Linked DNA regions of Danio rerio. The protein of the gene in region 1 binds, or shares a complex with, the protein of each later gene. Links are inferred from orthologs where the notes say so. Each region holds a gene or a part of one and is shown in the gene's direction. Other genes may lie near its edges.

The links.
Region 2: the proteins of rab11fip2 (region 1) and rab11a are in contact, whole or in part, in a crystal structure (PDB 2GZD), measured with the Homo sapiens proteins. The link is inferred for Danio rerio from reciprocal best matches to the Homo sapiens genes RAB11FIP2 and RAB11A. Residues at the interface, in NP_055719.1 of Homo sapiens: Glu478, Ile481, Asp482, Asn483, Leu485, Val486, Met489, Glu490, Pro493, Ser494, Leu496, Arg497, Val498; in NP_004654.1 of Homo sapiens: Arg33, Ile44, Gly45, Val46, Glu47, Phe48, Ala49, Thr50, Lys61, Trp65, Arg72, Arg74, Ala75, Ile76, Ala79, Tyr80, Arg82.
Region 3: the proteins of rab11fip2 (region 1) and rab25a are in contact, whole or in part, in a crystal structure (PDB 3TSO), measured with the Homo sapiens proteins. The link is inferred for Danio rerio from reciprocal best matches to the Homo sapiens genes RAB11FIP2 and RAB25. Residues at the interface, in NP_055719.1 of Homo sapiens: Arg475, Glu478, Ile481, Asp482, Asn483, Leu485, Val486, Met489, Pro493, Ser494, Leu496, Arg497, Val498, Pro499; in NP_065120.2 of Homo sapiens: Arg34, Ile45, Gly46, Val47, Glu48, Phe49, Ser50, Thr51, Lys62, Trp66, Arg73, Arg75, Ala76, Ile77, Ala80, Tyr81.

Annotation. Positions count from the first base shown.
Region 1 is NC_133188.1:22,724,159-22,728,484, reverse strand, and holds part of rab11fip2 (rab11 family-interacting protein 2), read left to right. Parts: intron 1-898; coding exon 899-1,129; 3' UTR 1,130-4,326. UniProt on the Homo sapiens protein: A Rab11 effector binding preferentially phosphatidylinositol 3,4,5-trisphosphate (PtdInsP3) and phosphatidic acid (PA) and acting in the regulation of the transport of vesicles from the endosomal recycling compartment (ERC) to the plasma membrane.
Region 2 is NC_133193.1:20,515,390-20,520,802, forward strand, and holds the start of rab11a (ras-related protein Rab-11A), read left to right. Parts: upstream 1-2,075; 5' UTR 2,076-2,195; coding exon 2,196-2,235; intron 2,236-5,363; coding exon 5,364-5,413. UniProt on the Homo sapiens protein: The small GTPases Rab are key regulators of intracellular membrane trafficking, from the formation of transport vesicles to their fusion with membranes.
Region 3 is NC_133194.1:8,473,348-8,478,945, reverse strand, and holds the start of rab25a (ras-related protein Rab-25a), read left to right. Parts: upstream 1-2,260; 5' UTR 2,261-2,412; coding exon 2,413-2,449; intron 2,450-2,894; coding exon 2,895-3,090; intron 3,091-5,371; coding exon 5,372-5,565; intron 5,566-5,598. UniProt on the Homo sapiens protein: The small GTPases Rab are key regulators of intracellular membrane trafficking, from the formation of transport vesicles to their fusion with membranes.

The DNA of each region.
Region 1 (4,326 bases):
GTATGCTATTTCCAGAAAACAGTCACTGAAACTAGTATGGGTACTTTGAATAATCTTGATCTGTTACACCACTGTTTTTAATACATTTTCTGACATTTTTGCAGAGATGTGATATCAAAACTGTGCAAAGTAACTTTTATATAGTCTAGTTTTATTGTGTAGACAGTATAGTAAATCGCAAACACTGTTTCATCCAAAAATCGAAATTATTTTAATAAAATCATCCTATGAATGTTTTTTTTCTGTAGACTGTAAACAAACCTGAAACCAAAAGCTATCCCAATTAGCCAGTTAACTAGGAAAAGAAAAACAATATGAAAAGCCAACTACATTTACAAAAATCTATACCAAAAAAATCAATACTATATATATATATATATATATATATATATATATATATATATATATAAATGTAAACAGACTCAATGCTCACAAAACTATCACACACCGTAATAACCAATTATAGGTTCTATATTATATTATATTATATTATATTATATTATATTATATTATATTATATTATATTATATTATATTATATTATGTTATGTTATGTTATATAACTTTTTATCGTGAGGAAAGTTTTTATGGTATATTGCAAACAATAAAATTTCCTGGAAGTGAATCTGGTCAAAAAGTCAATATATTTTAGATCCTCTTTGCTGTCCTAGATCAGTTCAGCTACTGCTTGTGTCCACTTACAATCTAACACAAAGCCTTCAGATGAACTTATTGGCAAGTTGAAGTTTGGACATAAAATGTTGAATGCCAAAAGAAGCATGTGATTAATTGGAATAGAAGTTTAATTTCCCAGCATGCTACAAGCGATTAAATAGTGGTTTCAGGAGGTTTTTTTATGCAATAACAATGTAATGCCATGTGTTTTTCTTCATAAATAGGACCTTGAACATCTGCAGACGAGTGTAGCGGCCTACAGCAATCTCTCCTTTGAGGAAGTTGTGCAAGAGCTCATTAAGCAGAAGGATGTTGTAAAGAAGAAAGATGCTCATATTCGGGAGTTGGAGGACTACATTGATAACCTGCTGGTCAGGGTAATGGAAGAGACGCCCAGCATCCTGAGAACACCCTATGAGCCCAAGAGAAAAGCTGGAAAGATCTCGAAAAAGTAAAGAATCACTGAAGAATATTGTAGCTTAAGATTTCTGGCAAAATATATATATTGCTTGATAAAGGACCCTGGAGTGTCACCTGGGATTGAACACAGGTCTATTTGTTCACACATAGACAAATTTCATGTGATAAAGTTACTCTAGGTTTGCAAGAACATTGTGACAGAAGCCAGGCACTAAATGTGGAGATGCCAAACCCCCCTATTTAGATTTTTTCCATGACTTTATTTAGATTTCTGTTTTTAAGATTCCTTTGAGCTGTCAATTAATACATGATGAGTGAATATTTTTTTTAATATTCACGAGCAGTCATTCCTAGCTAAGAGCAGCGTTCTTGTGTTTTTACCGAAAATAACTGTGTTTAAGTTGACTTTTACTTTGAATTCAGTCAGTATAACAGAATTCAGCACTTAAAAGTCTTGGTACTACTGTGTTTTACATTTATCACTGGGGTGGACTATCTATATGAGGCCTTGAATTTGCTGTGACTGAACTCACGCTGCAAAAGCTGCTCCCGATCAGTTGAGGTACACATTTGTCATATGCAAAAATGGAAACATAAATTAGTGGCACCACCGGACATAGAAACGCATGTTTACTGGATGTTTTAGCAGCGGGGGTGTTGATTTACTGGAAGACCACTCTTGGGTTTGACAGGGTAATTCTAATAATAAGTGTAAACAAGTGATGGAGACTTGTGTTTGGTGCCATATTGATTGGTTGGTTACAGGATGCTGGTACTGAAAGCTTATGGTACTCGTATATATCTAACAAATAATAATACGCTGATACGGAATACACTACTAAATATTTATTTTGAGCTTAATTGCAGTGAGCATATGGCATATATGAATGACACGGTTCACTTTTAAGTCCCAGAAACAAAAGAAACGTGTCGCAGAAGTGTAGAAATGAGCATCCAGTTTCCAAAGACTTTAATCTGAATGTTGAATTGGAAAGTTCTGCTTATGAATATATTCCGTTTATCACAGAACAGTCAAAGATTGTAGACTGATTGTTTTGACTGGGGAAATTTTGATTACTGATATCCGATATCACTATGTTTGGAAGCCGATAAGTGATATATAAATAGGCCGATAAAAATAATCTGTCTGATTACAGAAACAAATGGCAGACAGTGGGCAAACATATTTTATTTTAAACCTTATCTACAGCAAATAAGGAAACTGCAAGGAAATGTGTTAAAAACACACACACAATGGAAAACTACCACACTGTGACATCATTCTAACGGGCCAATAACAGTAACATTACAAATAAGCATTTATTTACAGATACTGATATGGCATCCATATATTTCCCTAGTTTTGACCATTTTATTAAAATGTAGCTATTTAATCAATATGTCAAACACAGAAGTATTGCAAATCTACTTTCAGCAAGTTATGAAACTCAATTTCTTATTTTAACGGAGCCAGTAAATTTAAAATGAAAGTGAATACGTTAATTTAATTGGTCTTTGTAGTCATTTAGTTCAAAACGTTTATAGAAACGTTCAGACAGTCGGATTTATTACTATGTTTATCATGTTTACTACACCAGAATCACATAGAAAAAACAATGATTGTTTACAGTTTGCGTTATAGTTTATACCTGCCAAAATTGACCAACGCTTCTATGACTTTGTTTAATGAACAGTGAACTTGTTTTTTGCTGGAAAACCAGAATGAATCTCTTAGAATTTCCAAAAGAAATACTTTTATTTTGTTTACAACAAATTTATTAACCATTCCTGTTACAAACTTGGGAAGATGTTTGTATTTTAAAATGCAAGTTTTAAACCAACCAAGTCAATCAAAGATACTTAAAACCTTTTTCATCAGCTGCACAAAAAGATTTATTAAAACAAATAATTCACAGCATCAGTTTACATACAGTGTATATATATATATATATATATTCATATATACTGTATGTTTTGCAATTGTGCTAAACTATTATGTGTTTTCAGGCATTTTTAGAATAAAAAAAGAAGATTTTTTTTGACTCAATTAATTAATTTTAGATTTCAAGCCAGTACTCTTGAATATTTATACACTTCTTACAGGGATTACTGGGATTTGTCTCATTTCCTGTTACCTACGGTACATATCTTTTCAGAAAAGTACATTGGCTATCATTTATGGTAATCTGAGCATTTATTTTTCATCGTAACCGTTTTTTTTTCAATGTTTATTTTTCGAACATAACAATGTTACACTGGAGTGTGTGTGTTTTTTGAACAACATCGGTGCATTTGCACACCAGACACTGAAAAAATGTGCATTTGAGAAAACTAGAATGATTGTAATGGAGATGTAGTTTATACTTTAAAGGGTATAATATGTTAGCTCTTAATGAAACTTTATACCAGGCAGTTCTTTAGACAATAATTACCCATAATTTTTTTTTTTATTTATAAAACAACATAATGTATAATTTGAGTGTATATACTGTAGATCAGCTGAAATCTTTCCAAGTGTAGTTTTTCCTGAATGACATGGTAAAAAGAAACACTGTGCTGGTTAGTTTACAGGAAAGGAAGTCACGTCTTCTCTAATATTGGGTCACAATGAGAAAGTGTTGTGTTCTAATCTAGATGTAAATTATTCATGTTTTGTTTGTTTAAAGGTTTATTTACCTACCTTTTAGTATGTATTTGGAGAGGTTTACATGTGTGTAATTGACAACTCACGTCAAAATCATTCAGTGCCACGAGCAGTGTTACACAGTGCTGTCGTTATGGCTCTTATTTCATGTCAGTCTTTGAAATATGACCTTTACTTGGTTTTGTGCAAGTTGGAATGTTACGTTTTTCCATATAGTGCTGTTTACTTGCTAGATTTTGTACCATTTTAATACAGGCATATGTGTTAAATGATTTATTTACTGTAAAAATCTTACAAACATGTTGTACAATTGACTTACACATGATATTAAATAATGTTCTGCATTATATGTAGCTGGCCAAAAAGAATCAGTTCAGAGTAACATTAACTGTAGTGCAGTTTACTCTTACCATTTGAGTATGTTTTATTTCTCTGTTCATTGTTTCATATCTGCACTGCTATGCATTCATTACATGCCCCCCACCCCCCCACCCCACACACACACACACACAAAAGAGCTTTTGATCAAATATTATTTAAAACTACTAACTGTAAGTATGTATTGCTGTGTTTTTATCGTACTCAGCC
Region 2 (5,413 bases), on another chromosome or scaffold:
CATATGGCCAATATACTTATTCAGTTCACCTAGGGCGCATGTCTTTAGACTGTGGGGAAAACCAGAGCACTCAGAGGAAAGCCACACAAACACAGGGAGAATTTGCAAACTCCATTAAGAAGTGCCAACTGACCCAGCCAGGGCTCAAACCTGTGACCTTCTTGCTTCGAGGCGATCGTTCAACCCACTGTGCCACCATGCTGCTTATCTCTGAGCATAGTATAGCTATTTTAGAATGGTGGTCCCTTTTAAAGGGATAGTTCACACAAAAATTTCTTCATCATTTACTCAAATTCACATCAACAATTCATAGTTTTCCTTTCCCCTTTAACATATCGATTCTCAATATCGTTACTATCTGTGACATTGTTTTCTACAGTAGGAAGGAACATGAGCATTGTCTGATTAATAAGCAGCAAATAATTATGTCTGGGCAAAGGCGTTTATTTCCGTCAGCATTGTGGAGTGAATGTACCACTGAACTTGTATGTGGCTCATACCAACAATTTTCCTCCTGCTTTCACACACACAGCAGAATTCCTGCTATTTCCTGGTCATGTTACAACTTCTCATTGCAAAAAAAAAAAAAAAAAAGGAACACAATTTCTGGCATTTTAAAAGGGCCTGTTCACACATGATCTCTTTACTGCAATTTACCAGTACCAGAAAAAGATTGTATATGTAAAAGCGGCCATTAACATCCAAAACATGAGCTGTATATTGTACAATTAAAATGATAACAATTATTAAGTTATTCACCTAAAAATATGAGTAAATAAGAAAAAATAAGGCACAATAAAAAACTGTAAAATTTATAGTAAATGCTGTAGTATTGTACTGCAGTAAAATACTTGAATTACAATCGGTTTTGGTTACTCTATAGTTGCTCTTGTAACACGAAAAATATGCTAATATAAGCAAACGACACAAATACTGTAGTTTTCCACAACGATATGTTACATTATACTACAATACACCACCACAGTTTGCTGTATTAAAAAAAAATTATATTAAAGTATTTATGACAGTTTATCAGATGACAATTAACATTACAGCTTACTGAAGCATTCCCTATCTAAGTGTTGTAAATATTATAATATATACTGTTGAATATACTTTACTATAAAAGACTATGGAACAACGTAGTTTTTATTATATATTAATATAGTACTTTTTCACGTGGAATGAATTTATTACAAAATAGATACAAGTGAAAAAAATAAATAAATAAAATACGGCAAATAAGCAAATAAGCAAATAAGCGTGTTACAATGTAACTTAAATGAAACCAAATATTTTTCTCTCTTTATAGTATAAATTATGGAGTCAGATCAGTCTAAAAATACATTTACAAAATAGGATTCATACATGCATAGCACAATTCACATTTACAAAATCCAATTTGGATTTACACACAATTTGTGATTTTACAAGTAAACATCCTAATATTTTCGCCAAATGAATTGGATTTGTGTATATATGAATCGTGTTTTGAACTTAGGAATCGATTTGTGTATTTATGAATTGTGTGTTGAACTTACAAATTGGATTTGTGCAATTATTAATCATGTTTTGAACTTACTAACTGGATTTGTGTATTTATGAATCATGTTTTGAACTTACGAGCTGGATTTGTGCATTTATGAATCATGTTTTGAATTTAATAATTGAATTTGTGCATTTATAAATTGTGTTTTGAATTTGTGAATTTGATTTCTATTTATGAACTGTGTTTTTAATTTTATGAATTGGATTTATGTATTTACGAATTGTGTTTAGAACATACAAATTGGATTTTGTAAATGTGTATTGTTTTGTGAATATATGAATCATATTTTGTAAATGTATTATTTTTGAGACTGATCTGGCTCCATAATAAATTGGCTCAATTGAGACGGTGGTTCCTTACAAAAACATATGTCTTATACTTCATTATATAAAATGCCCTTGGTGAACAGAAATAATACACAATGAATAAAAATAATAAATAATCCTGCTTTTATTTTGACAGTCTGTAAGGGCCCTCACCCGGAACACTTGAGGAGATGTTCTCTGGTTCGCCTGCTCGCTAAGCCGTTAGCATGGCTACTGCCTAATCACAGACAGACTGCAGTGCCGCAGCGGAGAGGACAGCGACGGGTCGCCTCCACTTTCCTTCACATTCTTCCATTGTTTGCGCTTTTGTTTTGATCGAGATGGGGACACGAGACGACGAATACGACTACTTGTTTAAAGGTAAGTACGTAATACTTTTGTCGCGACTGTACAAGTTAAAGCGTCTCCGATCATCGTGGTTATTGTTAGTTAGTGTGGTTTTATATTAAACAGTAAAGGCCAGCTAACCGGCTAGCTCACTTCGAGCAGCCCAAACAAACTCCTGCTCTTCGGCTGGAGTAGCGTATTTGAGTCTGTATCGTTATATGTATAATATTATTTAGTTACTGTGCATTGGGTTAATATAGATGTTGGTTAGCATAAAAAACACAGTTTTCCAGAGATCCGACCACACCTTGAAGCGGCTAGCTGAAGTTAGCTGACACTGTCGCTGGATGAGTTTAACGGAGCAGGCGGAAATGGGAAACGGCCTGTATTCCCGAATGTTTTTTCAAGCCTGTGTGTCTTTGTTGTTTTTTTGGCCATAATATATTTTGATATACTTAAACCACCGTTCGCTGTCATTATATCTTAGTTCATATACTAAAACTGAACTGTGACCGACGCTGTCATGACGTTTAACATCTCCTTTTGTATTCCACCGAGATAAAAAACATCATATGACATTGAAGCAACTTGAACAACGAAGGAATTTCTTCAATTTGGATGAACTGTTCTTTTAAATAGATAATTATTTGTGTCAGTTTGTTGTCTTGGAAGTAAATACTAGATGTCAGGTGATGCGGCCTGTTTTTCTCGAATATGTTGCTCATCGTTTTTCTTTCATTAAGCAAATGTGGAGTTTCTATCATTTGGAATAAGCTCTTGAAACAATAAGTTTAGTCATATTTGCAGCACAGTTGACTCATTACGTATGTTTTCACTTCTGTGAGACACATGTAGTCATTTAAGAAGTTCTGTGCTGTCACGTGAATCGTAGTGATAGTAAACTAGCTACCTCTACCTGTCTTCACGTAAGCCCAGAACCACTCGGAAATCTCCACCAGTTTCTGTCATAACAAAATGTCAAAAAATGTCACCAAAAATGGTAATCTCACCCACATTGTGAAATAAATAAATATATATATATATTTTTTGCCATTTATTTAAATGTACTTCTCTCAAATGATGTTGTGTGGTGTGTTGTGACATAGAGCTCTGAGTGTGAAGAGGTTTGTTCCTTTATTTAATGTAGACAGAAGTGTTTGTGTAAAGAGTCATTTAACTTAAAAATTAAAATGTGGCAATCGTTTACTCACCCTCATGTCATTCAAACCAACATTTCCATTCATCTTTGAATTGAAAATAAATTTGACAGATCCCTTCACTGAAAGTCCATCTAATAAAAACTGACAATTTATGAAATTCATAAGTAGATCTGGCACGATAACCGTTTTCAAGGTAAACTGTGGTTCAGAAAAGGTTTTGAAACTGCCAAAATATTCTGCTATACCATTTAAGATATATTATATAAGATTTTTTTAAAACATTTTTTTTTTCGAAGATGCTCTTTTGATTCGTAAAGAAATCTGTGTTTTTGAAACTAACGAGTAAAGCAGAAGTCTGTCCGTGCCAATAGCCTAGTGGTGAAGTGTGCTGACATTGCACCATGGTGCTCATGTCGACCCGAGTTCAATTCCTGGCTCAAGGTCCTTTGCTGACCCTTCCCCTCTGCTCCCAATACTTTCCTGTCTGCAAACTTTACTGTCCTTTCAAATAAAAGTGAAAAAACCCTAAAAAATAACTATAAAAAAGGAATACAGCAGAAGTCAATGGCTGCCTCCGAAATCGCCTACTACTCAGTAGATACTGCATTTGAATTTAAATGTACTACTAAATCTGCTGTTTAAAAAGTATATTCTGTACAGTATGAATGGAACTCGGATGTACTACATACTCCATTTTGTCATGATTACGTGACCTACCTGTATAAGTTGCGTCGCTTCACTCTCATTCAAAAATTCTCCCACAGGGCATTATGAGATAGCACAGTGTGTATCGAATGCACAATTCTCGCATATACTGTTTTTTGAATTCTATGAATTTGGACACACTGGTCCGGTCTCATACTGTTTTAGCGTAATTTATGATATAGAAGTATAGACACATTTCGGACACAGCCAATGATCCATTTGAATTTAGCCTGACATGTTTACAGTTCCAAAATATTTTAAATATTTCTTAAAATAAAATGATGTATTGTGTTCAGAGGGGGAAAAGTTTTTGTTTTTTACCCAGACATTTAAAAAGAATATATTTTAGAGCAGTGATCACTATACTGTGAAACCGTGATGTTTTATCCAAGATTATCATACCACCAGAATCTTACACCAGCCCATGCCTGTTCATTAGCACTCTAAATTTATCAGGCTCTTAAATCCAGTGCTTTTGAAGAGAAGTTATTGTTTTATATGATGAACCCATTTTGATTGGTTGTCATATTTTAATACTGACGGACATGCATATTTAGAGTCAATCAAATATGGTAAACAAACTGTCAACATTTTGATAAAATTCTCATGTTTTACGTAGAAAGTTTTAAGTTGAATTTTGAAGCATATCAGAAGTCTTGTATGCTGAAAAATGACTATGTAAAATGTAGTTTCTTTTTTGAGTTTTTGCGCTCCAAAATTTGTTAAACAATGAATTGTATGTGTGGAATTAAGTAAAATTAGATTTTTTTTTATGCTCGCTTTTCTTGAAAACATGTAAATAGTTGATTTCCTATCACAGTTTCTCTATTGTTTGAGTGTGAATGTCATTTTGAGTAGAAAATGAACTGCAGATGTCATAAACTCAATTTATAATACCTGACAACAACAGCAATGAAATGGCAGTGTAAATTTACCTGGAAAACTGGAAAGTGCAAAATGCTCCAGGGTGTGTTGGGAACAACAGTTTCAGAAAGTTGATATTTATTGTTATTGCTTTCATATATATTTGGGAGTCACGACCAAAACAACAAAGGATTCAAAGAAAAATATACTTTTTAGAAATTTTATTGAGCAGTAATTTAGAATATTGATTTTCATTGCTGACTTTATTGTTTAATGTTTTTTTATGTTTTAGTATTTTCTTCATCACAGAATCGTTTATTTAATCAGTGTAGTAGTTTGGAAAGACACAAGGCTTGAGTAAATAATGTGAGAAGCCTAATTTGTTATGTGATCTATGTCAGATATTACACCATGTTGTGTTTTATTTTGAAGTGGTCCTAATTGGAGACTCTGGTGTGGGGAAGAGTAACCTGCTGTCTCGT
Region 3 (5,598 bases), on another chromosome or scaffold:
CAACAGTGAAGCAATTACTTTTCAAAGTGAAATAAAATGATAGGCATTATAAAATTAATGGTTTTCTTCAAATCAAGCACAAGCACTCAATATAAATTACATTTTTGTCATTTAAAAACGTTTCCCAAAAATTAAACTAAAGTACATTAATTTAAGGTGGCATGGTGGCTTAGTGGTTAGTGCTGTTGCATAGAGTTTGCATGTTCTCCGCAAGTTGGTTTCCTCTAGGTGCTCCGGTTTCTCCCACAGTCCAAAGACATGTGCTATAGGTGAATTAAATAAACTAAATTGGCCCTGTGTATGAATGTGTGTGTGAATGATAGAGTGTATGGGTGTTTTCCAGTACTGGGTTGTGCCCAAGGTGCAAATTATACATTCACCAACAGGAGGGTAACCTTTTTGGTATGTTAACGTTAGTTTGTGTAATACATGCTTTAGTGAATCACATGAATGTATTTATTTGAGCTAGTTTAATTAATCTGATTTATTAATAAACATATTTAAGTTTCCAGTGTTTTGTGCGATATTTAGTGTATTCTGACCTACGATATCCTCTGATTAGCTATTCCAGAGTTTACTGTAGGTCAAACTATAAAAACTATGCATCTAATTTGAGTTCACTTTCAGGTTATATGTAGAAACAAACTGCTGTTTTACAAGAAAAGTGTCTTACGAACACTTTGGTTGTCTATCGGTGCTTTGATCTGATGGTTTCAGACTGATAAATAATTTGTTTCTCACATAGACTGATTGTGCATTCACAATGATATGAATAAATATAGGGGTGGTCAAATGTATATATAATCTATTTTTTTCATTCATTTTATTTTATTTTCAGTCCATTTATTAATCAGAAGTTGCTACAGCAGAATAAACCGCCAACTTATAGCCAGGGCCAGACGGAATCTGCGGACGTTTTTTGCTATTTCTGCTGAGAATTTTGGTAAAAATCTGTGGTTTTCTGCGGAATTATTTTGGGAGTATCCAGCAGAGTATCATAACTAAGACCTTAATGTATTAAATAAAAAGAAATAAATTACTGAATAAAAACTGAATAAATTCAGATATACACACTTACTCAAGTAAATAAACAGAATTAATGATGGGCTAAAAATCTGCAGAAATCTGCAGAATTCTGCGGAAAATCTGCAGAATTCTGTGTGCGCAGATTCTGTGTGGGCCTACTTATAGCATATGTTTTACACAACAGATGCCCTTCCAGCTGCATCACTGGGGAACACCCATACACACTCATTCACACACACTATGGACAATTTATCTATGGTCTATACCCAATTCACCTATATAGCACATGTCTTTGGACTGTGGGGGAAATCGGAGAACACGGAGGAAACCCATGCGAACACAGGGAGAACACGCAAACTCCACACAGAAATGCCAACTGACCCAGCCGGGGCTTGAACCAGCAACCTTCTTGTTGTAAGGCGATGGTGCTACCTACTGTGCCACTGTGACGCCCCTATTATTATCAGTTTTTATATTATCTTTTAAGAAACAAATCAGAGTAACCTCTATTTCTCTCTTTTTAGAGGACTGACCCCCATACACGCTGTTTTGATGTGCTTCAGGTGGGATAAAGCATTATTTAGGGGGGTCAGTTCTCCCGCGAAACCCCCTGTAATTCGCACCCTGGTTGCAACGCTGTAAGTGCATCCGCTGCATAAAACATATGCTAAAATAGTTGGCGGTTCACTCCACTGTGTCGATCTTGAAGGAAAGCTGAAGGAAAGCTGAAGGAAAATGAATGAATGAACATTCATTTAATAAGATTACACACATATTTCACACCCCTGGCTGTCTGTACCAAACAATATACACAATGGTTATTGTGAAAAAAGATGCATGAACAGCAGAGGTGTGATTCACAAGCCTAAACATGAGCCAAACACTGGGCTAAACAGGTAAATTTGCATTAAAATGAGCTAAATTCAAAGCTTTTGTTTTGATTACGTCAAACTAATCAAAACCCCTTTTATTTTATGTTTACAGAAACTCAACCTGTTGCCTATAAAGATACATGTTGATGCAGGACGGCTTGTTTTTCTGACTCAGCTCTTCTGATATTTGTTTTTGCGCATACAGAACTGGATACATACACGCAGTCGGAGTGAAGGAACGGTGATTTAACAGTAGTGTGTGTGAGAGAATGAAGTCACTCCCATTGTGTGTGTGTGTGTGTGTGTGTGTCAGTGGTTCTACCAGTTTCACCTGCTTTCCCACCCAAACTGTCTCAAAGAAGAGTCTGGCTGAATCTGCATTTAGACCTGCAAGAATGGATCAATAAAGCTGTCGGAGAAACCTGAGCATCTGCTTTTCTCCTCCCAGTGGATTCTGAGCTCGAGTAACACGTATGCACTAAACACAGACTGACACATTACAGCTAGAGACAACATGGGGACAGATTTAGCCTACAACTTTGTCTTCAAAGGTAAGTTTCAGTCAGCTGATTGAAGATTAAATGCTTTTACTGTGATTGCTGCGTCTGATGCCTAGCATGCTAATCTAATATATAAAAGATATTTGTTATTTTGTATTTTCATGTATTTCCAATTGTGTCAGAAATTGAAAGGGGTAGTTCACCCAAAAATTAATATTTACTCACTATTTATTCACCTTCAAGCGGTTCCAGAATAGATATGAAGATATTTTGAGGAAAGTTAAAAATCTGTAACCATTGACTTTCATAGTAGGAAAACAAATACAATGGAAGTCAATGGAAACAGGTTTCCAGCATTTTTCTAAATATCTTCTTTTGTGTTCAACAGAAGAAAGAATGTCAAACAGGTTTGCAACTAGTGAAGTGTGGAAATTGTATTTTCCTTTAACTACGCATCATTCAAAGTAAGTTAAATGCTGTCTTGGTTGTCTTTCAGTGGTTTTAATTGGAGAATCAGGGGTTGGAAAGAGCAACCTGCTGTCAAGGTTTACCAAAAACGAGTTCAACCATGACAGTCGCACCACTATTGGCGTGGAGTTCAGCACTCGCTCTGTTCAGGTGGACAGTATCACCATCAAAGCCCAGATCTGGGACACTGCGGGTCTAGAGCGCTACAGGGCCATCACCTCAGCGTACGTCCCTCACTTCATCTTCCTTTCATCTCAGATTCATGTACATTTCCTTGTTTTAGATTATCTGGAATTTGTTGCAATTGATTTAGACTCACACCCAGAACCACTCCTATATGTCTTTTTAACTTGGTACACAGTTTAAAGGATAGTTACTGACAGCTACAGTGCTTTTTGCATTATTTTACTATAGCATAGAAAGTGATTGTGTTTTAAAGTTTCTACCACTACACTTAAAAATGCAAAATTATTTCAACTCAACCAGTCAAATTTCTAATTCATTCATTCATTCATTCATTCATTCATTCATTCATTCATTCATTCATTCATTCATTCATTCATTCATTCATTTATTTTCCTTTGGCTAAGTCTCTATTTCAGAGGTAACCACAGTGGAATGAACCACTGACTGTTCCAGTATATATTTTACACAGCATATGCAATCTTGGGTGCAAACCCTGTACTGGGAAACACCCATACACACTCTTTCACACACATACGGCGAATTTAGTTTATTCAAGTCACCTACAGTGCATGTCTTTGGACTGTGGGGGCAACCAGAGCACCCGGAGGAAACCCACGGCAACATGCAAACTGTACACAGAAATGCCAACTGACCCAGCTGGGACTTGAAGCAGAGATCTTCTTGCTGTGAGGCGACAGTGCTAACCACTGAGCCACCGTGCCACCCTAATTTCTATTTCAACTAGTCAAATATTGGCATACCCAGTTACTGGGTTAAAATTGAAGTGCGATGGACACATCTGTGCTGCCTTCAACATTCAATCAGATGAAGGTCCCTTCTGAGGAAGGAAGTGAAGCAGAATTTTGATTAGGAAATGCCTTGATGCCGTCCTACCACTAAATTTTAGAGTTTTCAGACGATAGGAATTAGAATTTAACCATGGTTATGTTAAATATATAGTTACTGAAATACTGCAGAATATTGAGTTCTTCCTAAAAGATGCTTCTAGATTAGTAAATTATACTATTTAGAAGTTTTGATTTGGTAATTTATTATTATTATATATTTTAAGGGTTTTATGCTTATCAAGGATGCATTTATTTGATTAAAATTTATCAATTGTTATTACAAGTTTGAATAAAAAAATCTGTATAATTTTTTTATCAATTACCAGGATTTTGAATACAGCTTTGTATCTCAATAGATTTTATTTGATGGTTTAATGGTCGAATACGGTGGCCGAGAGAGCTCAAACGAAGTGAATTTAAAGTTAATTGTGCAATTTGTCAGATAATAAGAGATAAAAATATAATTACAACACATTTTAGATCTTTGCAGCATGTTTGAGCTCTCATGGCCAACGTACTCGAGATATTTATTATTAAATCGTTGTAGTGCTTTTTAATAATTTTGTAGTAACTGTAATGCATTTTTGCCTGGATTCATTAATTAACAGAAGATTCAAAAGAATGGCAGTATCCATACATTTATTATATATGTCTTTAAAGTAACTTTTATTTAAATTTAATGCATTCCTGCTGAATAAATTCTTCTTACTATGCTCACACTGAATAAAAATGTTCATGTTGTTGTTGACATACAGAGAAAAAGCATCTTAATTAACATTATTAACTGTTCATTACTGTTGGCATTTCTGTATTTGCATGTTCTCCCTGTGTTGGCGTGAGTTTTCTCCGGGTGCTCCGGTATCCCCCACAGTCCAAAGACATGCGCTATAGGTGAAATGGATGAAGTAAATTGGCTGTGTGTGTATGTGAGAGTGTATGGGTTTTTCCCAGTACTAGTGTGCGGCTGGAGGGGTATTCATTCATCCATTCATTTTCTTTTCGGCTTATTCCCTTTATTAATCTGGGGTCGCCACAGGGGAATGAACCGCTAACTTATCCAGCATATGTTTTACGCAGCGGATGCCCTTCCAGCCACAACCCATCTCTAGGAAAGCTGGATGGGCATCTGCTGTGTAAAACATATGGTGGAATAGTTGGCGGCTCATTCCGCTGTGGTGACCCCTGATAAATAAGCGACTAAGCCGAAGGAAAATTAATGAGTATTATTAATAAATACATTAGCCAAAAGTTCAAGTTTAATGGACCTTATTGTAAACTGTTACGATTAATATCTTACTGGGCCGAAACCTTGTAAACTTTGAAGTGTAGATATTGTGTGATTACAACATCCCGTTCCCCCAGCTTCCCCCGTAGGATGCAATACATACTTATTAAAAACCAAATAATGAATCATGTGAGCCAAATGCAATTGAGTTTCTTGTGTGTTTACATGTAATGCTGTTTGTTTTAGGTATTACAGAGGAGCAGTGGGTGCGCTGCTGGTCTATGACATCACCAAACACCTGACCTATGAGAGCGTGGAGCGCTGGCTGAAGGAACTGTATGATCACGCTGATCCTCATATCGTGGTCATGCTGGTGGGCAATAAAAATGACCTGGCAACTGTGCGCACTGTACCCACAGAGGAGGCCAAAGACTTTGCAGGTATCTGCAGTTTATAGCCCTCAGTTTAAGACA